4 linked regions of the Drosophila melanogaster genome follow. The gene in region 1 interacts genetically with each later gene. Each region holds a gene or a part of one and is shown on either strand. Other genes may lie near its edges.

Region 1 (5,527 bases):
TGCTCGCCGAGTGTCCTTGGCCGTTTAGTCAATCGCCCGAAGGACCTTGGCCTTCGGTGTGTCACTGCGTTTGTGCTGCCGTGCGAGCAACTGTTAATTGTTCGCCAGTTTCTGGAAAGGCTGCGATACCTTTTGATTGCATATCAAATTCAAGGTAACATCTGAAATGGCTGCAACCATTTAGAATCCCCCGATGGGCGCGTGGCAGTTGCCAAATGCAATTTGGAATTGGTTTTCAAGTGAAACTCTAGCAGGCGAACAACTGGTTCGATAATACGATTTAACTTTACAGTACAGTAAAATCTGATTTTTAAAGATCTAAGTCGTTTTTGCGAAACACTAACCACTGACTAATAAATCAACAAATCGAAAGTCATTGTAACACTTGTGTGGGCGATACTAAACCCTTTAAATCAACTATATTAGTCGGTTGGCAGGCGTAATCTGTCTTCCCACAATTCTGATTATTAGTTTGTTGTTCAATAGCACCAAATCGTCCAAGGAAACTGGAAGTCCGCCATAAAAGCCCAATAGCTCGTTTATGGCGCTAATCAATAACAAGGCTATTTTTACACATCGACACTTAAAATTTCATTAAAGTAACACGAAGATAAGCTGGTGGGAAGCGTGCCGATTATATATATCAGCAACTTCAATGTCGGCCCTCTTAGGGGGTCTTGACTGTGCTAAGCCGACTTCTGGCCGCAACGCAACCACCCCACTAACTGCTGGCTAATTGGAAATGTTGTCGCATGGTGCTTGAATTGAACACTTGTTTTAGCTGTTTCGCACTTTGAAACTCAACCACCGCTCCCCCACCAACTGGGTGGTCATCCCACCGCCACCCACTCCACTTTCACTACCCCCGCCCCTTTTTTTTTATGGCGATAAGATACTGCTGTTCTTCGCCTTAGCTGGTATCTTAGCACACATTTTGTTCTGGCACCGATATAGCGCAACTAGCAACGTATAACGTATAACGTATAACTTGCACCTAAACTAATTTTCACATTTTATTTCACACATAAAAACCATCATATACCTCTTTTAGCATAAACCATAAAGTGGCAAGCATATAGTATTATGCCAAGCGAACCCAATTTCTTTCAGTGCCAGCATGTAGCTACACATGTTGGCAAATATAGGGTGACTATCTGGGGGGATAGTAACCGTGTATTGGCAAACGAACTACTTGGCTGCAGTCCGCTTATCAGACAATCGCCGGTGATAAGCGGCAAATGCTCGCGTGCCTCCACTTTTGGGGCGCGGACAGGGTGGGCGGTGGGCGGTGGGCGGTGGTTTTGGCTGAGTAAAACCTGATAAATACCGGGACTTGTAATCTCCCGCATTCGATACCCTGTTTGTTGTTCAGCGCGAAATCGAAAACGCATTTGCGAAGCGTACACACAATGTTGAGTAAACTATGTATTTGCAATGATGACCCGGGGATCGATTGGGCTCGAGGTTGTTGAACGCGTTCGCTCGGTTTGTTTGGATTTCGGGACGCTTTGCAGCTTTATGGCTTAGTTCGATGGAATTCAGGCGCTATCTACCGTTCAGCCGTCGAGTATCGGGCTTCCTGTTTTTTTGCACTTGCGAAACAAGTGCAGTGCGGCGATAAGATGCATAATTAATCATATAAATGGCCAATGCTCAAAACTAATACTATATTTCAGCCCAGTTTTATGGCAGCCATCGCCACCATAAAGTTGGTGAAATAGCCAATGCTCGATCAATGATTGGGCACTTTTCCGCCACGTAGCGTTTATCAATGGGAACCGAGTGGCACAATCTCGTGCCATCGGGCGATCGCTAGATACGGGCTATAAAACAGCGCGAGCGATAAGCGATCGCTAATTTGACAATTGAATTTACGGACCACGACGGGTGGCAAAATGTGAGTGCAGTGCGCAATAAGCACGGAATTAGCCTAGCCGCAAATCGGAACCCAGCTGTCTGATATAGAAGACGAATTCGGAACAATATCAGCAATAAAATCTCATCTAAATGGTGTGTTTGACCTCCATACCTCAGATTTAACAGGCATTTCATTGTGTTCCTATATCAAAGTAGGCTTACTTTTATCACAAAATAATACCTAGACCAAATATTAAGTGTACTATTAAAGCATTACAAGTTCCGTTTGGTAGAGTTATCTCACATTTTTTCCTAGAATTAGTCATTTATTTGGCGTAAGACTGGGTTTTCACTTCATTTGTGTTGCTAACAATACTAAATGTTAAGTAATTTCTGATTAATCGTGATTAATAAGTCAATATTTCGGTTTTTACAAATAATTTTTAAGTCACTTTGTCACAATGATTCCGATAAGCGAAACTTTCCCAATGATGTATTACAAATTTTGTTACTAGCTTACGGTGTTTGAGGGTTTTCCTTACCTTGCTCATCAAGCGATCCGCTCCGGTGCCTTCCTCGTCGCGGAAAAGGATGTCCCTGTTGTAGTTGGGCACGAGGTCCTTGAATTTGGGCGAGTCCCGACGGATCACACCCTCCAGAGGTCCGGAGGCGCTGTTCGTGTACTCGGATAGATTGGGAATTGTCTGCTTGAGGACCAGCGGATACAGGTTGCGCGCCCTATGACGACCCAATCCTCGGCCAGGACCGCAGCTGTGAGCCGGGCTAAAGACCATCGGCAAGACGATCAGCAGCAGGGCCACCAGAGAGGTCAGCCTGCTGAGGCAACGCTGCGTATGCGCAATGTGGCGCATCGTTTGCGTTTCTTCTTGCGGGATTGCGGAGATGGAGCTCGCTGCGGATTTGGAGCTGGAACTGGAACTGGAACTGTGGCATTTGGCATCCAGGGAGAGACAGGTGACACTGGCGGCACTGGCCCAAGGCACTGAGCTGTGGTTATCCATGATTTATCTAAGACTCGTTGTTTGCTGTTTCTCTTGATTGGATTTTGTATCTCCTTTAATTTTTTTTATTTATTTTTTTGGTTATTTAGCACTTCACTTTTGGCACACAGACACGCTTATTTGGCGACACGTTTGTTATTCAGATTTATGGTATTATTTGGATTTAAACTGGCTAAATCGAAATACTTGAGTCGGCGAAATCGCAGGTCCTAACTGACTTAACTACGGTCTTAACTGTTCTCCGCTGAACTGGCAGTTAGCTCTCGGTTCGGACAACCGTTGCGCTCGCACTGTGATTGACAAATGACATTTCCGAGCGGAGTATCGTGCGCGCAGAGTGTTCGAGTGCGAGTACGAGTACGGCAGCGAATACGAATGCGAGTATAAGTACGAGTACGACGAGGGTGCTTTCAAGAACCCTAGGCCTTTTAGCTCACACAAACACACACGCACACACACACTATCGCCTCGAGTTCATTCCGCGTTGTGATTGTATGCGTATGCCACTCGACGTTCGATCGGCTGTGGTGTTCATTTTTATGCTGCCTTATGCGCAAGGGAAGTGGAAGCGGGACAACCAGATGATGCAGCATACTCACAAGACTGGTTTGCATGTGTTAGTGCCTGAGTCTTCGGCTCTTATGTACAAGCAATGTTGGCAACAGATGTTGGATGGCATTGGCATAGTGTGCTGCGGTCCATTATGGCCATGGATGAAAGTGTGTGCCTGTTGCCAATTGGATGTGTGATAGTGTGCGTTGCTGGCGCAGAAGAGCTGCAGCATCCTCGACTGCAACTGCAATTTCTCTTAACACTTGCACTACTCGGACTCGACTCGACTCGAGTCTTGTGGCTTGTTAGCCGCTTCTGGCCCTGCAACTCCTCCATCGCAGGCCATTGTTCACTTTTTTCCGTTGCCTTTCTTCGTTTTGTTGTTCGTTTCGCTTTATTGCTTGTAAATTAATAATGTTCCGGTTTTTTGTGTATTGTGTGACTCCTGGGCAGCCTTATATATATACATACATATATATGTATATTGTATATGGTATGATATGTGGAGTACATATGGGTTCAATGCTGCTTCCGTTTGCCAGTCTTCAAGGAACGGAAAAAGTGCTTAAAACTAAAGTACTTTATGATCATCGAAGGCTCCGAGCTTATGTCACCCAGTGAGTCATTCATATGCCCCTCAGGTAGTGGTCATGTTCCGATTAGATATCGCCTTAGGACCTACAAATTACTGGTCAATTTAACAATTTCCTTCTCCGCCAGAGGTTCCGTTCAACGCCATGTCAATAATCGCAAATATGTCTATATATATTGCAAAAACCGATAACGATTTTGGCAAATACAATTTGCAATTAGGTACCTTATATTTATGCACAGCAAATAACTAAGTTGCGGATTGATGCCGCACTCTGGAAATCAATAAATTTCCAGTTTTATCTCTGTTGACTTTGGCTAATATAAAATTCCCCACAACTGGGAAATCTCCAATTTAACTTTTTAGCTTTTTCGCACTTTCAGAACTTGGATCTGTGGCAAGCGCTAATCTTTTGTTTTGGCTCTTTTTCCAGACCTTATTTATTTTTTTGCGGTTGCACCAGGTCTATTTGCACTGTCACTTGGCAAGCGCGAATTGTGGAATACGCCCGTCAATGTGTGCCCAAGAAATTGTCACTTTCCAACGGGGTAGAACCAAGGGCCAAGGTGCACCTGCTCATGTAACGGATTCCATGGGGGGGCATAGCATTTTTTTTTTTTTTGGTAACGCTCTGGAATGCAAGGCATAGCATAATAATTTCGACAAAAAACGAAATGAATCGAAGAAAAAAAATAAAACGAATCGAAAGAGGAGAAATACAATAGCTGGTCGTGGCGGCAAAAGATATAAGAGAAGGCAAAACGCCATCAACAAGATACACGGAACCAAATTAAAGATGAAGAAGCTGAAATGGAAGGGGGTATGGAATATACGAGTCTTGGATGCTGGGCCATCGGGCATTCGAGTGTGTGTGCGAGAGTCTATGTGGCTGCCACATAAATTTCTGCCTTCTTTGTGTGCGCACCGAACTCATTACGTTCGTCGCTGTGTGTATCTGTGTGAGTTTCGAATGTGTCTTTGGGCCTCCGCATCTGTATCTGTATCTGTATCTGTGGGGCGGAGCTGCTTAAGGCGCTCATTTGTGAATGAACACACAACACACCGTGAACAAGCCAGATACAGATGCGAAGACCATCCCGGGCCCATGGGCAAACAACAATCGCTCCAGCACTTAATGAGCATGAATAAATGGCATCGCAGACCGTGGAGCAAGCGAGACGGCCAGCGGTCCTCATAATCACGATCATATAGATCGCGCTCTTAGCCGAAACGGCTCACAAAAAATACAGAAAAGAGTTAAAACAAAAAAAAAAGAACACTAAATAAATAAACTAACAAAAAATGCCTTTCCAGGCCCTTCGAGATAAAAAGCCGCAGATTAGTTTCTGTAATTAGATTTGGTCCAGCTTTGATTTATGTGAATATTAATGGGACAACAGCTATAAGTCGAAATTGAATTTTAATGGCAACCTGTAATGCTGCACGGTGAAAAATGTAAAAAAGCAGTTCTTAATGTCAAAACATTAAAAAAAAAAATGAATAC
Region 2 (5,449 bases), 8.3 Mb from region 1:
CAACGCAGACCCCGCTCAAAGATCAGTTCGCGAAAAATGGTTCTACTGGTCTGGTTGAACTGCTCGGTAATAAGCGACGGTTCGGTATCCGGAAACGAACTCCACACCTTGTCAATAACGTTGGAGCGCACCTCGTTAACCGCATTGTCACGAGACATCTTGTCGTGCGTCGAATCCTGGAAGATCTCTCTCAGCCGCATTTCGCACATGCTACGAACGGCTTTCCCCAGTTCGGGATCTACTTCGGCAGCCACTTCCACTTCGCGCTTCTGTCGACCATAGGCCTTCTGCAGTCGCTCGATCTCGTGGATAATGAATTGGGCCTCACGAGTCCCTTGTTTGATAGCCTTTAGAAGGTCCTGCTGAAGAACCACATTCCCCTTGCCCTCCAACATAACGACGAGGTTTTGTTTGGTGGCGGAGACTACCAAATCCAGTTGCGAAGTCTGCAGCTCCCGGCGCGTGGGGTTGATCAGCACCTCGCCGTCGCAGAGGCCAACGCTTTGTAGGATTAAAAGAGTTATAAGCGGTTACCAGTTAGATTCGTTCGTGAGTACTCACCGCACAGCTCCAATGGGTCCATTCCAGGGAATGTCACTTAGAGATAGCGCCATGGAAGCGGCATTGATTGCAAGCACATCCGGACTGTGCACCGCGTCCATAGCCAACATGTTGCACACCAGCTGTGTCTCCGTGCGATAATCTTTGTGGAAGAGCGGGCGTAGCGAACGGTCGATAAGGCGGGCGGACAGGATCTCTTTTTCCGAGGGGCCCAGTTCGCGGCGCATAAAGTTCATGGGTATTCTGCCAGAGGCGGCGTTTTTCAGTCGGTAGTCAACCACCAGAGGCATGAATCCCTGGCCGGGATTTGGCTTCGCCTTGGCCACCGCGGTGACCATGACGGCGGTATCGCCCATTTGGCACACAGCTGTTCCATTCGCAAATCTCGCCAGGCGGCCGGAACTGAAGGTCATGTTACGTCTGCGGAGGATTCAAGACTTTGCTATTGGAACTCGGAGTGGAGGCCACGAACTCACCCATTGCTGAAGTTGACTTCCACGGAGGGCGCTTCTCCGTTGGAACTGCTTTGGATTCCTCTCCTTCCTCCTGGGCAGGACAAACTTAGGCATTTGAGGCGATAGTTGAGCAGCTTCAGCGATTTCCGTGTGAAAATCATGGCCATTACCTAAAAGTGCCGGGTGATTCCGGCTGAGGCGACAGTTCTGTACGCTGTATTTTCATGGTTATTTAAGAAATAATTAGTGGTCAAAATCTTACAATAAAAGCCCTGTACGTTTCTTGAGACTTGGAAGTTAGACTTAGAGCGCCTCAACTATTTGTATTGTTTAATTCAGTTATCTCAAAACTAGAATGCCCATTTAAAACAAAGTAGAGTGTGCAACATGTGTGCGTTCGGCGTTGCCACCTGGCAAGGGTAACAACAAATGAATTATATAGACAAACTATTACACGGATTATGTCTTAGGAATAATGTAGTAAATATTAATACAGCGTATTTTAAAAAAATTAATTTCGTTTCCAATAAGATATTTAGAAGGGTTCCCAGAAAATGAACTATTAGCTTGTGTCCCCGATAATGTCAAATTTGCAGTGCTGCCAACTCTTAGCAATGTTAGTTACAGCATGCAAGAAACAGCATTTAAATTCCTTTTCAGAAACGAAGAATTAAGACGGTATGTTCTGAAAGGTCCTAAAACGACCAACAGAATGACGCGACGATGTCCAAATCGCCAGATCTAAGTAATTCAAGCTAGCTAGAAAATAGCTGAGGCATCAGCACTACACAGTCCGCCAAAATTAGTCCGTCTTTTTACGCGTTTAGAGTTTTTTACCGCGAGTCGAAGACGTCTTTCACTAACTCAACGACGGTCTTACAGAAGACTCCAATATTTTTCGAGCAGGCAATTCGCGGATCCATCGTTAATTTTGGGCACTTGCAGAAAGCCCAGTTGCGAACGTCGTCGTGTGTCGTCTTAGAAAAGCCACTCCTCCAACCGGAAAACCGCAAGAGCGTCGAGCCCTTGTTTTGCGAGCCTTTTCGAAAAAAGCTGGGAATTTCACGCCGTATTTTTCGTATCTTTTCCGTCAACGAAACGCCGCGTGTGTCGTAGTGTGCGTGTGTGTGTTCTGTGTGCCCGCCCATCTGTGCATGTGTGAGAGCGCGCCTGTGTGTGTGAATTTTGGTGAGAGCCGCAACAACAACCGAAAAGAAAACCAAAATCGACAAATGCGGTCAAATTGAAAAGAAAAACAAAAAATCAAAGAGTATTCTTGCGCAAAGCCAAAAGGCAAAGTCAAAAAAGAGCGCAAAGCCAAAAAAACGCAGATTTCCCAACGAAAAGGCCGGAAAATTGCCCACTAGGCGTGTCGCTGCTTCTTCTTGTTCTTTCAAATTGTTTATGCTGCAATTGCAGTGGTGTGCGAAAGGAGTGGTAGAGAGAGAGAGAAGGAAAAGCGTCTTATCAACGCCCGCTTTCTTATCAGAACCCACACATTTGTTGCGAAAATTCCAACCAGCCGAAACTCACAGTGAAGCTTTAAATAGCACATCAAACAAACAGGTAAGTCTCATTAATCAGCTTGAAATCACCTTATTTTCTACTGCTCCTCGGTGGTCACAACTCACTGGCTGTTCCCCTCCTTTGCACTTAAGCACTTAACGGTAACTGTAAATTACACACACGTTGGCCTTGTCTCTCCTGGCGATTAATTGCATTAATGCCGCAGGACTCGCGCCATCCCTGTCACCCCACGCCAATCGATTAAAAAGTGAAAGCAATCGGGAAATGCTTATCAGTAGGTCCTCCTTCTTTGCTTTTTAAATGCATAAATACCCATGCACAGATGCACACATGCAAGCAATCAGCCCAACAATGCACTATATGAATATTTATAGCTCATTATTTATTGTCTCGCTGTTCCCGTCCATCATTTGACCCGCTAAAGAGGGCAGGTTGGTAAATAAATGAAAAGTTATCGAGATAATCGGTGGAATTGTTGGATCATTAATAATTTGTTTATTTTTTAGTTAACCTCTGACAATTTATCAATGACTTAGTAGACATAAGTCAGCTTGTTATTTTTGCATTTACCAAGATATCCGGAAGTAACATCTATTGCTCACACAAAAATATATTGGGCATTCACAATAGTGATGACTCACTGCCATGCGTGTTCACTGATTATTTTGACTTCTAAAATCATACATTTTATATTTACGTAAAGTTTTCAGAGCTGATATAAACATTAATTCAAGATATTTATTTATTAATCACTTGCACACTACTTCCAAAATACTGTACGTTTTATGCAAAATGTCGGAATAACATCAGAGATGTGATGCACAGGAAAATTCCCCATAATTCATGAAACCTATTTCCAAAATTAACAGAAAACTATTTGCGGTACTCGAACTCAAAATCTGTATTTTTATAGCACGAACATTGGAAAAGAACGCAAACCAATTAGTGAAACCATTTTGAAATCACCATAAATCAGCGTGATTGCCTGGCAATAAATTCCCGTTTCCATTTGCAGCTGACAAATGCGAGTCGTTAAAAATAGTTTTTCCCCAAAAGCGTAACTTTCCCCCGCTTTTCAAGGGCGACCCTCGCAATGTCCCGATGTACTTTCCTTATCGCTTCTGCATTTCGAGTTCTTTTTTCTGTGGTACGTCATCGGCAGCCGGGTGTCTCTGATTGTTTGAGAATCGCCTCGCCGGCTGCATAATTAAGACGAGCTGGACGTTTAGCTGATAAACGTTTCCACTTTTCATCGGCGGATGGGAGTCAATGTGCCATTCACAGAAGACCTCTACTCTGGTACACAGATGGTGATTGTTAAAGTCCAAGATCTCTGATGTGTGACCCCATGGGGTGCCCTTTTCAACTGTCAGGTCGCAACTATTGTTTCCATGTTTCGAGGGCTTGCGTCACAGTTTATCGACTCGAGTTGCGAGCTGCGAGCTGTGAGTCCCGAGAACCCGCAACCCATTCCGACAGGATGACGTAGGCAATTGGCAGAAACATGTGTATCCTGGGTATCCTGGGCCCCGTGCAGACAACAATAAACCATCAGCGCCAACCCCATGGGCAAATAAAACCCAATCGAATATTATTATCAATGAGGGCAGGACCCAAACAACGAACGCCAGTTCGAGCGCGAAGGAGGGTTGGCCACATGCTGCTCTTCCCTTGGCAGGATATCATTGCCAGCACTTGGACCCAGCCCACTGAACTTCCCAATTCCAATTCCAATCCCGACCACGCCCACATGCCATCATCGTCGCCTTCTGCGCTAATTTGGCGCGACTTTGACACTTGTTAGCCAATATGTTTTTGGCTCGTGTTAATGGCCCAACGGGAATTGATATTAATTGCGCCGCACGCCCCTCACGCCGCCCGAACTGGGCGTGGTCGTCGGTCAATATTGTTGGTCTCTAGAAGAAAAAAAAAAACAACAGAAAACGAAAAACACAAATGGCCCGAAAATCAGCTTAAATCAATTTTTTGTGGTCGCCGCCTTTTGTTCACTTGCTGGTTTTTGGTCCAAAATCGGCTTACCAACTTCGGTGCCTGTTTTTCTTGTGACTTTGGGCTTTACAAAGAGGCTCTAAGGTTCCCTTCTCGTTCAATCTAATTAATCCTGCCTTCCTTGATTGAGAATATGGGATTTGCCTTGCCCTTAAGAAAACCAGATTTCCTCACCCTTTGGCAGCCAATGAAAACTGAAAGCGCTCCCAATGTTTCCATTTTTCCAGGCCCTGTGTTTTCCTTTCATGTGCCCTAATAAAACTAAATTCAATTAGAACTTGCAGTTCGAGTTCCTTGTGCGTGTGGGAAAAGTTGGAGTGAAATGTGAGAAAAGTTTTGCGGAATATGTCGGAAAAGTGAAAGAGGGATGGGTAGGATCAGTGGCAATGGGCGGATGGCACATGGAGGGCTCATTAGTTGCCAAACGAAATCTCCGGAGGGCATGCAAATTTAATCGAATCACTTCGAGTGAAAAGCCACTTAATGATGGTTCCTTTCCTTTTCATTTCTAATAGATGAAAAGGCATCTGCCTAATGGGTTTTGAAAACAAGCAGCGTGAAAGGTTCCTTCCTTTAGGTCCTACTAATATGAACATAACTTCCCACGGCACTGGAATTGATTCCTTATGATTCATCTCTTCCGTGCTCCTCATCGTTTCCAAGTGCCTAGCATCCGCCTGACACACCCACCTGCCCAGTCTGGCGTAGTTCGATAAGAAGAAACAGAAATGCCTGGTGGTAATCTACAAGACAGCAATGACAGGTGGGCTGATGGCCTTGGAGAAAAGGGAAGCCACCATGGCGTAATGACCTTGATAAACTTTCGTTTCAAAGAGCTTCCATCGCACTGTTCTTCCCGGGATATTTGGCTGGCGGCTGTGCCGTGTGTTCTATTT
Region 3 (7,657 bases), on another chromosome or scaffold:
ATTCAAAATCCATGTTGCGATCGGTGAGGGACTATGTGTTCGCCGCCTTTGCCTTTCCTGTCGCCCACAATGTCTGCCTCTCGTTTTGGGTCATCTACGTGTGGGACCGTGAGCTCATCTTTCCCTCAGCGCTGGATGCGATTTTCCCCAGGCAAGTGTTTATGTTTTTCCGCCGGTTTAACTTGCGTACAATGCACAATGTTAGTCTGCTGGAGTCTCTTTTGTTTCGAGCCTGTCTAAACTTTCTGTTCATCAGGCGAGGCGAGTTTTGATTTACCTGTGTTTCTCAATATTTGCAGCTGGTTGAATCACGTGGTACACACGAATGTGGCCCTTTTGGCCATTATGGACCTGTTTACCTGCTTCCGCCGCTATCCGAGTCGATTGGCAGGCATCACGGGCAACGTCTCCTTCATCCTGCTTTACATCATCTGGCTGCACATTGTTCGCTACTTCAGTGGCGAGTGGGTGTATCCCATTCTGGAAGTGCTGCCCGCATACCTGCGCTACGTGTTCTTGGCACTACTTGTGGGGTTCAACCTGGTTTGCTATCTGCTCGGGGAGTTCGCCAACAACGTCGTTTGGGGTCCGGAGTTTAAGCTCCTAAATCAACAGAAATTAAAGCAAGGCTAGGACTCGAGGATTTAAAATCGTTTATTAGTTACACAAATTATTATGTATAATTTTGTAAACTTGAAGGCACTTTCTGAGGTACGATTTGTGTGCCCAAGAGGCTTATTTATATCGTACTTAAATCTATAATCTACAATCTAAAGTCCTGTACCCACGGCAAAGAAAAATAATGAAAATAAATTATTATCCTCTTTGGCATTTACTTTGGCGTGAGTACCAGGATTAAGGAAACAGTCATTCACAAACGTACACAGAGATTCGAATGCTTACAAGCTAGATGGGGTGATGAATCTGTAAAATAAAGTTGCAGCCTAATGACTATGAGTATTCGTAATTCGTAGTTCTAGTTTCGCTCAGTCTGTTCCAGTAATCGATTAAGAAGAATCTAAATGTTCATCGCATGTAAACTGCTCTGGCTTGTGTACTACAATTTCGTATTTGTTTGTTTTAAATATCATTTGGGTTTCCAATTCTAGTGAAGCGATATATTCTTATAAATCGTTGAACAGTGAACATAACAATATTACGATTTCGTAAAATAGATAAGATTGTACGATTATTTTCAGCGCTAACAATTTGATTTCTTAGAACAAAAACTACAATATTGTAAGAGTTTTTGAACCTTAAGTAAATGCATCAATTGCTTATTTAGTCTTGCTATTTTGAAGGCAGCAATAACATTTTGAGTTTGTCCGACTCGCTCATAAACGTGGGCTCCCTTTGATGCCGATGGGAATGACCCAACAAGCCCTGCAGCTCCGTTCCTCCGAAATCCTCATTGGCTGCTTCAGTTCTTTGTCTGCTGGCTGCGTTTAGGAGTCGCATGGCCTGCTGCAGTTCGTCTTCTCCGTAACTGGGAACTAGCTCGAAAGGATTAGCCTGTATGCCCACATCGCAGCTGGTTTTGCTGTTTCTACTATGTGGTTTGCCCATGGATATTCCAGAAAAAGAGCTGTTAAGAAGGCTTCCTACGTCCAAAGCCACATCCAGCTCTTCAGAGGAGCAGCTAAGTGAGTCATTAGACCGATACTTTACACAGTCCTTCCTGAAATCTAGATCAGCAGCAGGGTTCTTGAGATGTCTCTTTTGGGACTTTTTTGACTGACTTCTTGCGGAATTTCGGGAATGTCGGTTAGAATTGGATTCATTAGATTTTTTTATGTTTTTAAGAAAGTTCTCCAATGCCACCTGTTTGCTATTTGGCAGTTCTTCAATCTTTATTCCGTCGTGATCATCCTCACTTATTTCCTGCTGCTTTACAACCACGTTAAGATCCTGAATCTTTTGGGATGCTCTGGAATTATCCTCCTCCGAACTAGAGCTCATATCTTGATTTTGGAGGAATGGGAATATAAAATCGCCATTTTTCTGCAGGAATTCATTAAGAATAGAGGGATCCAATCCGGCATTAGCAGTCCTTCGCTTCATGGAGCTGGTGTAATTGTGTTGTTTCTTGGAGCTGTGATGAGCAAACACGCCCACTTTGTGACTAGCATTGGGATAGGTCGTTTTCTTGAGCGCGATGACCTGCGACTCCACTGAAGTACTGCTTTCCCTTCTCCTACTGCTTTTTCCAGTGGCAGCTGCTATATAATCCCTTCTCCTTTGGGTTCTTCTGTTGCTGGAAGAGCCTCCGTGTTTTCCCCTTGATCTGGACGCCACTTTGGTCTTCATTTCAGCTATTTTCACTGATACCTGCGAGTCCACCGAATTTCTGCGGGATTCAACGGAAACATGTCGAACACTCACACTTATCTCGGAATCCAATGAATTTTTTCGCGGTCCATGGCTTGACGAGTTACCTGTCGCTGCTCCCGTCAAAGCCATGCGACGTTTTACGCACTGCGGGAGGTATGCAGCCCAAGTTGATGAGATGTCATTCGTCTCAGAAGAGTTCAGATCGTTCACATCGAAGTTGAGCCCCACGGGATCTGTGTGGGTGTTGTAGAGCGTTATGGAGAGCCTGCCCTTGTCCTCGAAATCCTTGCGCTTGGCCCATGTCTGGGCAATGACCTTGTGCTTCGGCATTTTCACTTCTTCGACCACCTCTTTGCCACACTTTCTGCAAAGGTTATAAAATCGATAGTACAGATAACTTTAATGCAACTTTTGGTAGGATGGTAAAACATACTTCCTTATATAACGCTTCCAAGTCTCAATTGAAGAAGGTGTCCAGCACCAGGTGGACATTACGATTCCAGAGCTAAATAGACACAGCAAATGCAATTGAAGAACGCCAACACTAGGTCGGTTTTCAATTCGACAGGAACTCTTTTCTTCAAAAACTGAAGAAATTTTGCAGCTAAACAAAAGAATTATCTAGTTGAGGCGTATGGAAAAAGTTATAAACGAGTATTTACACTTACATTATAAACTGTCTGAAGCTCTGGGCCCATTCGTCTGCATGCCTAAACTCCGTAACGTGGCACGCAATGGCCACTAGTATGAAAACTAAAGTGAGCAGAGCACAGACTCCCATGCGCATGATGATCAAATGGATTTTGTTGCTCGCCGAAGTTGATTTAATGTCATTAGCGAAGTGTTTCAGTCCAAAAAGCATCACCATGCCGCGGGTGATGAAGTATCCACCAATGAGGATGACCCCGCAGAGCGGACCAAGAAGTAGTCCTGCCCTCATAGAATGATTGATATAGCCTACGAAGCAGATGCCCACAATACTATTTCCATCCACCTCACTGAAAGCCATCGTGGTAATGGTAAGCACAAGGGGTAGTGACCACGCCACGAGGTGAAAGTAGGAACCTTTCTTATCTATCCGATCTTGGACGTGGCCCATGGCCCTCCAATGCCAGGCGTAGGTGAGGAACACAAACCAAACCATTCCAGCGGTGAGAAAATAATAGACCAGCACAAAGATCACTATGCAAGAAAGATTTTCACCGGCTGTAGGCTCTGAGTGGCGAAGTGTTCCATCCTTACGACATACTATGTCCTCTCGCGAGCCAGAAGTAAACTGAAGCAACCAGCTGCATAGTAAATACGTGGTTGATTAAGAATACAAATGCAAAATAGTGCTCAAAACTTACCCGACGCAAGCAATTAGAAAGCAAAGATTTATGTAGAACACAATTACTGCCGGATACTTGTTGGCATTCTTCCAGTCGATGAAGAAGGTGGACACCACGAAAAGGTTAGACAGAAGACATATGCTGCCAGCCCATCCGATCAGTTTGTGGATCTGCCGATGCTCATCATCGGTATAGAGTGGATCCTTGCATCGCACGCCGCAGCCCTCGATGCCAGGATAATAGCTGGCTGACGTATCTGTCGGAACCAAAGGACTTAAACACTGGCCAGTTCCGTTGAATTTCATTCCTCGTGCTCCGTTTGTGCATTTCGTCGGAAAGAGTGTTTCGTTGCAGCGAAGGAATTTTGGGAAAAACGTCGTGTTGTACAAAATGCGACAGGGTTCCATGGTAATTCGGCACATCTCGTAAGATGGCAGGTAGACCATGTCCTCGCCGTTGATTTTTTCACACTTCGGCTTAAAGACGGCGCACAAAAAGGGCTATAAACATGTAAAAATGGGTGTGTTGAGCTAATCCGGAATATTGAAGAAATGGATTTGAAATACTATAATATCTACAGAAAACCTTGAGCCACAACTGAATATGTATATATATCTGAATCTTCCCAAGATAAAGCAATTCACATATTACTTTCACTGCTTGAACACAAAGCGTAATTAAGTAATCACAGTTGTGCGCTTAACTTGTTTCTAATGCACCTCCTTATCAGAAAATAATGCGACAATCTGTATTTTCATACAGACTCGGCCCCACCTTTTGAAATCATTAGGTACATTAGATGTTATTAAGATTCCTCACCTGTATAGCTGCCCAACATTTGGGCACGTGCTTCAGGGCATAGTAGTCGTTCAGCTTATCGTTCAGCTCCTTTTCGGTGTGGAAGTCGGTGAGATCTAGGCTGCTCAGCTCATAGGGCAATTTTGAGCCGAAACAGGTGTTGGTTGCGTTCGAGGTGGGGTAGCAACGGGCACGTCGGACACACTGGATGTGCCTGCTGTCTAGGCCATCAAACCAGGGTTTGTCGTCCCTGCCCTTCTTGGCGTACAGTCGGTAATTGAGAGTCCCATTGATGGGCTCCAGTTCCACATCCGACTGCTGCGCACTTGCGGGCGTTGTGCTGCCGAACTTGGCCGAACTGGCCGATGCGTCTGCGACCACCCACAGGCATAAGATCGCAACCTCCAGGAACATCCTGCGGTTTGTAAATAACCAAGTTATTTTAATTGCCCACACCATTTGCCAGAGGCGAGTCACTCACATAATGTTTGGCATGCGCGGAAAGTTTAAGTACTGCATCCGCTTATAAAAATCATTAAATAGCTGCCTTGTGTGAATTTTAATGGGCTGAATGCCCGTTTCTTGCTCAGCGGTTCGTCAGTGCATCGTGAAGGCGCTTTCGTTGGACTCGGGATATCCTGGTTTAATTGTTCCCTTTGAAGGATTGCAGTGTTTTTAAAAAAGAGAAAAAAAAAACAAGAACCAAGGAGGAAAACAAAAATAAACGCGACTCAACGTGAAGCTGAAGCAACAAATGTGCGACCATTCAGGGCCAGTTTAAATATACCCATGTTATCGGTCAGCGAGATTTGCATGTTATCGGTCGGCATCGGTTATTATCGGTCATAGCTGCAACAAGTCGAATGATATGCAAACAAATCGGATTTATTTTGTTCGATCGTAACATAAGATAACATCAACATAAAATAAGAAATATGATCATATGTAGAAATGCATCAGCAAACGAAAAAGGTGTTCCCCGCAACATTTTGACTATATGGCAATGCTGGCCGCTGGCTTATTTATTTATGCCATGCGCTCGACGGTCACACTGGGTGCGGAGTATCGATAACACCGCGATAGTAGCGCACCAAGCATCGATGTAGTTTTTACATCCCTATTCTGCAATATTATTTCACGGCACGGTCCAAAAACACGGATAACAGGGCTTGGTTGGAGTCGCGCAAACGCAAATAGAAGCCATGGACGTTGCCCCCGCACCGCCCGCCAGTTCCGGCGGCGATCATAGCACCCAGCAGGCGCCGATCAGTCCGAATCAAAATGCAAACCAAGCGCCGGTCGCACTCGCAAAGGCAACAACAATCGAAAATGGTGTACAAACAGGAGGAGCGAAAAAGCCAGAGAGCTGCGGTGAGAAAGCCCCCGGTTAGCAAACTTGCTCGAAGCTAGTCTAGTTTCCTGGTTAACGTTTACCTTTTAGCCGTAGAGCCGACACATTCCACTGATGCTAGCCAGAAGGACGACGACGAGGGCAAGCCGAAGACCGAGCTGGCTGACAAAGTATTGATTACCATATGCAGCGCCGATCGCAAGATCAAGAAGACCTTCATGTCGTTGCCCACTCGAAAGGATGTAATCGACAAAGGTAAGGAACGTCCGACGAATTGGGTATCTATTCATCCAGTATTCCGAATGAACGTTGCCCAGTTGGAAGTTATTAACCAGTAGACAGTCTTTAATAAGAATCTATTGGGTTTAAGCTTAGAGCATTTCTGCATTTAAAAATATAAATTTGATCAATGGGTGATATATTTATCTAGGATAGAAATTAAATAATTGTACATATTTTATTTAATTTATATCAATAATATATTTGTATTCGGTAGCTCACAAATACGGCCTGTGCGGCAACACAATTGTCCTGGAGAGCAACGGCTGCGAGATCTGCGAGGACGACGTGCTCTTGTTCGCTGCCAAGGAGAAGATTCTGTTGATGCTCCTCGCCGAGTCGGAGGAGTATGTGGTGCTTCCTCCGCCATCGCCCCTCAACCGATCCGAACGCGCCGGCAGCTCGGTGGATCCCAGCTTCTATGCCAACAACAGTATTGTGTCGAACCCGAACGATTCGACGGTCTCTAATGACGAAACCATGTCACTGTCCAGCGTAACGCCATCAAGTGCAAAGAGTTCTGCTCTATTCAAGGAGTTCTCGATACCCTGGAGCAAGGTGCCTGGGGACATAATGAAACTACTAAAGGGAAAGGGGAGTTTGGGCAAGCGGTTGAATACACTTGCGAATGTTTTGGTGGAGGCTCTCCGTGAAATATCCGCCCACATTCCCATACGGATTTTCCGGCAGGTCGCCCAACAGGCGGCTGAAAAGTACCCCGACTCCTTACTCGAAAAAGACCGCGAGGGACAGTTTATAGCCACCACTCCGCAATCGCTCATATCCAAGATGATCAACCGTAACAATGCCCTAAACAAACCCCAGAAACGCGGCAGCTCGGGAACCTTTGAGATCCACATCCCTAATAAAAAACGAAAATTCGGAGGTGGTGCTTCCAATGGTGATGCAAAATCGCTGGCTCTTAACAGGGATCTGGAGCACAAAAAGGAGTTACTAATCTCCAGCTACCGAGGCAGTTCCCCACTGGAACAGTCCGTCATAATCGAATATATGAAAGAGTGCTTTCCGTTGCAGCGCTCCTTTTTTAATAACAGCGAAAAGATCCCAGATATAACGGCCATTAAGGACAATTGGCCATATATTTTTGACAAGGCTGTGCTGTACCAGCACTTTGAGCTGCTTATGTCCATCGATCCCCGGGCTCTAGAGAAGCGCTTGGCTACCGAAAAGGATCGCTTTTTCAGGTTCTTTAAGAGTTCAAAGAACAAGAAGATCAGCTCTTTGGACGAGACCAACGCTAATTTCCTGCGTGGCATAGCGTACTATTTTAATGAGGATCCCGACTACATTTTCAAGCACCTCGAGAACAGTTCCCTTAGCAAGGAATCACTGCAAAGCACGAATCCCACAAACGCCCCCTGGGTGGCTCTAGTCAGTAAGTACACAAAAATTAATATCACTAAAAGTGTTTAAATACTTTTAAAATATTTATCTTCCCACAGATTCACCCATAACAACGGCCGACGGCGTGGAATCGCAAATGGAGGCGAAGGTCTACATTGAAGGCCAGATAATGGCCACATTCGCCGCCAAAGACGAAGACCTG
Region 4 (5,640 bases), on another chromosome or scaffold:
AATCGCCGGGGCGGCGAGAAAGGCCGGGGCAAAAGTGAATTGGAAAAGTAACTCAAGTTCGCATATTAGGCATACGCCGCGTTGAACGCCGAGTGAAACTACGGCGCTTGGCATCTTCTGGACCGAAAAAAAAACCAGTATGGTCGGGTTCTCGAAGAAGATGACCTTATACAATATATTTTCGAGAGAGAATTTATAAAATAAAAAGCAAAATTGATCAGTTCTCGATTTGACAGACAGAAGACAGAAGATCGTTGCCAAATCGTGTCGTTTCGTTTGGCCACCTTGAAGCTAAGTTCATTCATCTTCGTTTAGCATAGAAGTTTAGCAGGTGATTGAGCTGGGCTCGCTCGACTTTTAAATAAAAATGTAAACTAATATTATTAGATAGTTGACATAGTCAGAATATTGATACATATTGGAATTGTTAGCTAGCGTTTCTTGCTATGATTATGATATAATAACACATAATTATAATTTAAGTTTGCACCTATCAAATCACACTTCTTGTGCAATCCAATTGGTTTTCCAGTCAAGGTGTATCCCATAAACCATAAACCCATCGAGCAGCAGCCAGCGATATCGGATATCGTTCTCGGCTGCCTTGAGGCGCCACATCAGGCGGAAATCTGGCATCGGAATGGCCCAAACGGTAGACTGAGGTGCAAAGTCCGGGCCAAAAGCACCTGAAGCATTAGTTGCAGTTGCAGTTGCCACCTGCTGCAGCCTCTTGTTCGAACACCCTCCCCCCCCCCACAATCTTTCGTGGGGCAATTCAAGTACAAGCGAATACCAATGGAAATATTTTTGTGGCTGTGTGTTGTTTGCATGGAAACGTGATAGCAAAAGTTGTTGCTGACCGGGCCAAGTTGTTGTTGCCGCTGTTGCTGGCCGCATCTGCTTGTGGAATTTATTTATCGTTAAGAAATGCGTGTAAAATAAGTGAAACTATTGGGAGTCTCAAGCCTCCAGAGACTGACCAGTTTCTTTCGGCGGCCAACGGGGGGGATGCGGTTGCTAATGCCACCACTTTTGATAAAAATGTTGGCCTAAGCCAGTTGTTGCTGCCTGCTGATGACCAGTAGCCACTTAACTTGGCCGAGAGCGGGGCGAAGCGGGCATGGGCAGCAAATTATTGCCGCATTGCTCAGTTGTTGTTATCAGCAACGTGATTTGCCAGGCCAAGATGAAGATTGAGATGGAGATGGTGATGGGATGGCATGGAAGTGGAAGCCAACTTCAACTTGGCTGCTTCATTGCGTGCTCACGATTTTTATTTCATTTTCGTCGAATTTCCGAAAGTGGTAGACCTTCATGGTCTCATCGTCAGCTGTTGCTATATCTGTGTAGCTATATCTCATTATATTGCTGCTCTGTCTTGCTGATGTGTTGCTTCTATGTAGCTGATGCTGCTGCTGCTGCTGCGGTTGCTTAGTTTTGTTATCGGGCTTTATTTCTGTACCTTTGCACATTTCGAAGCTATCAATTTCCCACCTAACCAACGGGCTTGCTGCGCCCTGCGAATGCAAATGCAAATCGCAGTTAATAAACTAATTGAGCCTAGTGGGGTGAACTTTGACACTGATTTAGTGCCCCCAGTCGCATTAGCAAGGCAAATCGAATAAATCGATATAGATACCGATTAAGATTTAGATTCAGATTTCGATGCTGATTCCGATCCCATGTGGGATGGCTTATGCAATCGTGATCGATCAAACCAAACCAAAGCAAAGCTAAGCGAAGCAAGCCCTGCCCAGCCACGCCCAGCCAGTCACATATAATTATTCAATTAGCCAAATGGCGTCATAAATTAACGAGTATATGGCATATGGTCAAAGGGTTTTTTACCATGGCCAATGTCAGTGTCAGCCGCTAATTGTGACTGGTGTGGAATGCCGTTAATTCAGTTCATCACTTGGCCCCCATGAATATGCAAGTGACACCCGATCTCCACATGTCTCTGCTGATAATGTCCGGGGTCCAGAGATAGAATTTCACTTTTTCCCCGGATACTGGCGTAAATCTGTCGAAACTTTATGCAGTGATATCAAGTTGGCGGAAGGGACTTATCTATTGGCAAACTTATTAAAGCAAACTAGATTTCCTCATAGTAATATAGATTTTTTAGGTGTCTTCATAAATGTAAATGCATAAAAGTGAAATGGTTGCAAAGTTTATCATTAGAAATCTAAACAGTGCTAAAGTCTCTGAAGAAAATGAACATAATATACTGCAATTGCTATTGTTTCAGAAATAATCCACTGACTTCTGAGTTACATGTATTTATTTCTTTCACATTTATATACATAAGTAATCAGCCAGTCTATATGCATTGTATTCATATGTATATGTGTATGTGACTCACGCATTGCACCCAGTTCCAGTTTTCCCAGTCAGCTGTTTAACAGCCGTTCAATTGATTCGATTGATCTCGAATTGGACACGCAGCCACCATGGCGTATGCGCATTATTTGCTAACACTCTCGGCTTGGCTTACCTGGTGCACCTGCTGCACGCCGCTCAGTTACGCTCCAAAATCCACAAATCCTTTGGCTGCAACTGCAACAACAACCAATTCTGGCAGTTCGCGAACGTCGCATACATTATACACTGGTTCGACTCGGATATCCACTCAAATACTTTCGACCTATCTATCTCGCTGTGGCTTCGATTCGATTCGATTCGACTTCGACTTCGATTTTGGCTTATGGAAATCACTGGCACTTCACATGTTTGCTGCTGACGATGGTGGCCAAGCTCAGACTTTGGCTATTTTCGATTTGGATTTGGCACACAGACACATCACTCACTCACACTGGCACACTCGCAAGAATGGCGATGGTTACGAATATATTATCTGATACCGAATCGGTATCAAAAATCGGAGAGGCTTTGGCTGGCTGACGAGCGATCGCGGAAACGAGAACGAGAAACGACGGGAGATATTTTCTGTTTTTTCTGTGGTTCTTCAGGCGCGACTATCAGCGTTTAACTCGGATTTACTTTATTTTATGGCCGCAGAAACCGCGAACGATTACAGAGCAGAAAAAAAGTGATTAGAGGCTGTATATTCGGTTGTAACCAGCGATCTTTCGCCTCGATTTGGCGACACTCTGTGGACGAACGAACGCGTTTTTCGGTTCCGTACAACGAGCGTTGAGCGCAAAAAACTGAATGAGCGTCCAAAGCGGCCGAGGCAAGGCAAACAGGCAGGCAGGCAAAAGCGATCCGGAGACGGAGCAGCAAAAGCAAAAGCAGAAGCAGAGCCGAGCAGCAGCAACAGCAACATCAAAGCAAAGCACAGCACAGCAGCAACAGCAACACAAGCAGCAACAGCAACACAAGCTAGTTAGTTAGTTTTGAGCTCGTAGTAGTGAGAGTCAATCGCACACACACTGCCGACCACGATGGCAAGTTGCTTAAGTCGCTCAAAGCGCCATTTAAGTTGAGTAATTAAAACAGGCAGTATGTGTGTGTGTGTGTGTGTGTGCGAGTGCGATTAATTATTAATCAAGCCAAAAAAACAACAAGCAACCGCTAAGGCAACAATAACAAACAAGCCAGACTCACAATTACAATATTTCAGCTCTCTCAGTCGCCGTCTTCAGTCCACAGTCTCCGGTCCACAGTCTACAGTCAACACAGAGTCTTCGGTCCTCAGTCTTTAGTGTTCAGTCTTCTGTCTTCTGTCTCAGCTGCGATATCTTGACTTTCTTCAAGTCTCTCTTCGAGCCAAAGCCACAGAGCTGTTACACATTTGACTTTTCGGCGCTGCCGCAACTGGTTCGGTTTATTTTTGGCTCTAAATCTCGGACTAAGTCGCGGACTTCTCGAGACTGCAGCGCTGCTAATGCAAATCTAAATTGATTGCAAAATGCTTAGAGTCCCGAGCAGACAATCTTTCGAGTCGATCGGCGTTGCCGGATTGTTCGGCTTGTTCGAGTTATAGGAGCTAGATCGTTTTGAGATATGCCAAAGTGAGAGTTTAATGAAATCGAAGCACAAAAGTCAGGCTCTGCAGATAACACACACATGAGCTCCGTTTGACTCATCGATCTATTTAATATTTTTAAAAATTTTGTTTGTCCTTCAAAATGTTTTATTTGTTATTTAGGCCTTGATACTATGATTCCCCAAGCCTTACTCACCATATCAATCATACGCCTCGTGTGCCCATCTGGCAACGCTAGCTGCCCAAAATCCATGCAGCAAACTCAATTGATGCCGCTGATCTGGTTGTTGTTCTTGCCGCTGATGTAATTAAAATATTGCACTTGTTACTTTTACCAGCGGCTGTTCTGTCTCTTTCCCACAGCCTTTCTTCCCGTATATTGTGCTTGCCTCAGGAACACAAGTGCAACAAAACAAGCAGCCAAGGAGCAGAAAAAGCACAACAAGCACGCTGACAACATCGACTTCATCGTTCGCCGTGTGTCGTGTATTAAAACTTGTTCATTGGAATTTTCTAATAAATCAATAAACGCAGACAACACAGCGCAGTGCGGCGGGGGGCTCCAAGGGGGGATCCAACGGGGGCTCCACAGAGGGGACTTCGGGGGGCCAGCGGCATCTTGGCACACAGCTGGCGGCATCGGCGGACCGACGGACAGATTGCCGCACGCATCTCGCAGATTGCGCATTTTATAAATAGCTGCCTCATTTTTTTTCTATTTTTTAAGGTTATGGAAAATTTTAGTTGTTGTTATTATGATTTCTTGCTATTTTCCTTTCCAACTCGATCAGCCAATCGCGATTGTAGGCTATGGCCAAGCGGCAGCATTGACAACACTTTCACACAGTCGATGCACCCAGAGAAATATAGATATTCAAATCAATTACAATTCCATTATGTAATGAAAATGTTGTAAAGTAAGGAATAACATCCTTACAACATAACGAAAGATTATGGGAAACAAGTACGCACTTTGTAAAAATGCCTGCCTATTACCTGATTAGCTAAATTGCACTTCATTTCTCTGCGTGTAAAATAGTCGCTTAGCCGTCAGTATTTCCGTAAATAAAGCGCTTGGGAAGTGGCAATTAAGTTAACTGTGGGCTGGCCACAACAATCAGGTAAACGCCATGAAATGTACGCCAATCGATTGGCGTTTTGCACATTTATTTATCTATATTTTCTATAAGTAACGATCGCTTCCTATTCTTTTTCGAATTGCCATAACGCTGGCACTTCGATGCGGTAATAAAGGTGAAGACTTGATTTTTAGTGCGTTTATCGCGGAGGCAACAATGTTGCCACTAAATTTGCCATGTTCCAGCCCGATATGCTAATAGGTCTAATAGCTTTCGATTTGGCCCGCTTTACATGCGACGAGTCCGTTCGGCACATTCTAAATGTAAATAAAATGGAAATTCCTTAGAGTGGCACCAGCAGCAGCAGCAACAGGCGCAAAAAATGAAAAAAATCGGAGTGGAGGGGCAAAAACTTGTAGAACAGGAGGAGGCACTTGTTGAGAACTTGGCTGCCTTGTTAAACGAGCCTGCAACACCCAGCAGCAGCAGCAGCAGCAGGAGCAACAACAGCAACAATAAACAATGTTGCAATGCTTAATTATTTCAGCGGCAAGGAATTCCTTGGCGCAAACTTGAACTGCTTCTGGACTATGGATGTTGCATGTTGCT

The links.
Region 2: of hh (region 1) and Gprk2, changing one enhances a phenotype caused by changing the other (phenotypic enhancement), as found in Drosophila melanogaster (one study listed by BioGRID).
Region 3: of hh (region 1) and smo, changing one enhances a phenotype caused by changing the other (phenotypic enhancement), as found in Drosophila melanogaster (2 studies listed by BioGRID).
Region 4: of hh (region 1) and dpp, changing one suppresses a phenotype caused by changing the other (phenotypic suppression), as found in Drosophila melanogaster (2 studies listed by BioGRID).

The regions. Positions count from the first base shown.
Region 1 is NT_033777.3:23,138,643-23,144,169, forward strand, and holds the start of hh (hedgehog), read right to left. Parts: upstream 3,265-5,527; 5' UTR 2,880-3,264; coding exon 2,400-2,879; intron 1-2,399.
Region 2 is NT_033777.3:31,403,375-31,408,823, forward strand, and holds the start of Gprk2 (G protein-coupled receptor kinase 2), read left to right. Parts: upstream 1-1,870; 5' UTR 1,871-2,582; intron 2,583-5,449. Other genes in the region: PNPase (polynucleotide phosphorylase), read right to left, coding at 1-501, 562-981, 1,038-1,183. UniProt on the Drosophila melanogaster protein: Specifically phosphorylates the activated forms of G protein-coupled receptors. Required during oogenesis and embryogenesis; component of a signaling pathway that functions during egg chamber maturation.
Region 3 is NT_033779.5:275,148-282,804, reverse strand, and holds smo (smoothened), read right to left. Parts: upstream 5,224-7,657; 5' UTR 4,980-5,223; coding exon 4,942-4,979; exon of another isoform or gene 4,876-4,941; coding exon 4,482-4,875; intron 4,163-4,481; coding exon 3,681-4,162; intron 3,621-3,680; coding exon 3,000-3,620; intron 2,936-2,999; coding exon 2,765-2,935; intron 2,696-2,764; coding exon 1,291-2,695; 3' UTR 638-1,290; downstream 1-637. Other genes in the region: CG11601 (uncharacterized protein), read left to right, coding at 1-151, 300-633; CG17078 (uncharacterized protein), read left to right, coding at 5,663-5,846, 5,902-6,066, 6,308-7,486, 7,554-7,657. UniProt on the Drosophila melanogaster protein: Segment polarity protein required for correct patterning of every segment. G protein-coupled receptor which associates with the patched protein (ptc) to transduce the hedgehog (hh) signal through the activation of an inhibitory G-protein.
Region 4 is NT_033779.5:2,425,908-2,431,547, reverse strand, and holds the start of dpp (decapentaplegic), read right to left. Parts: upstream 3,177-5,640; 5' UTR 2,498-3,176; intron 1-2,497. UniProt on the Drosophila melanogaster protein: Required during oogenesis for eggshell patterning and dorsal/ventral patterning of the embryo.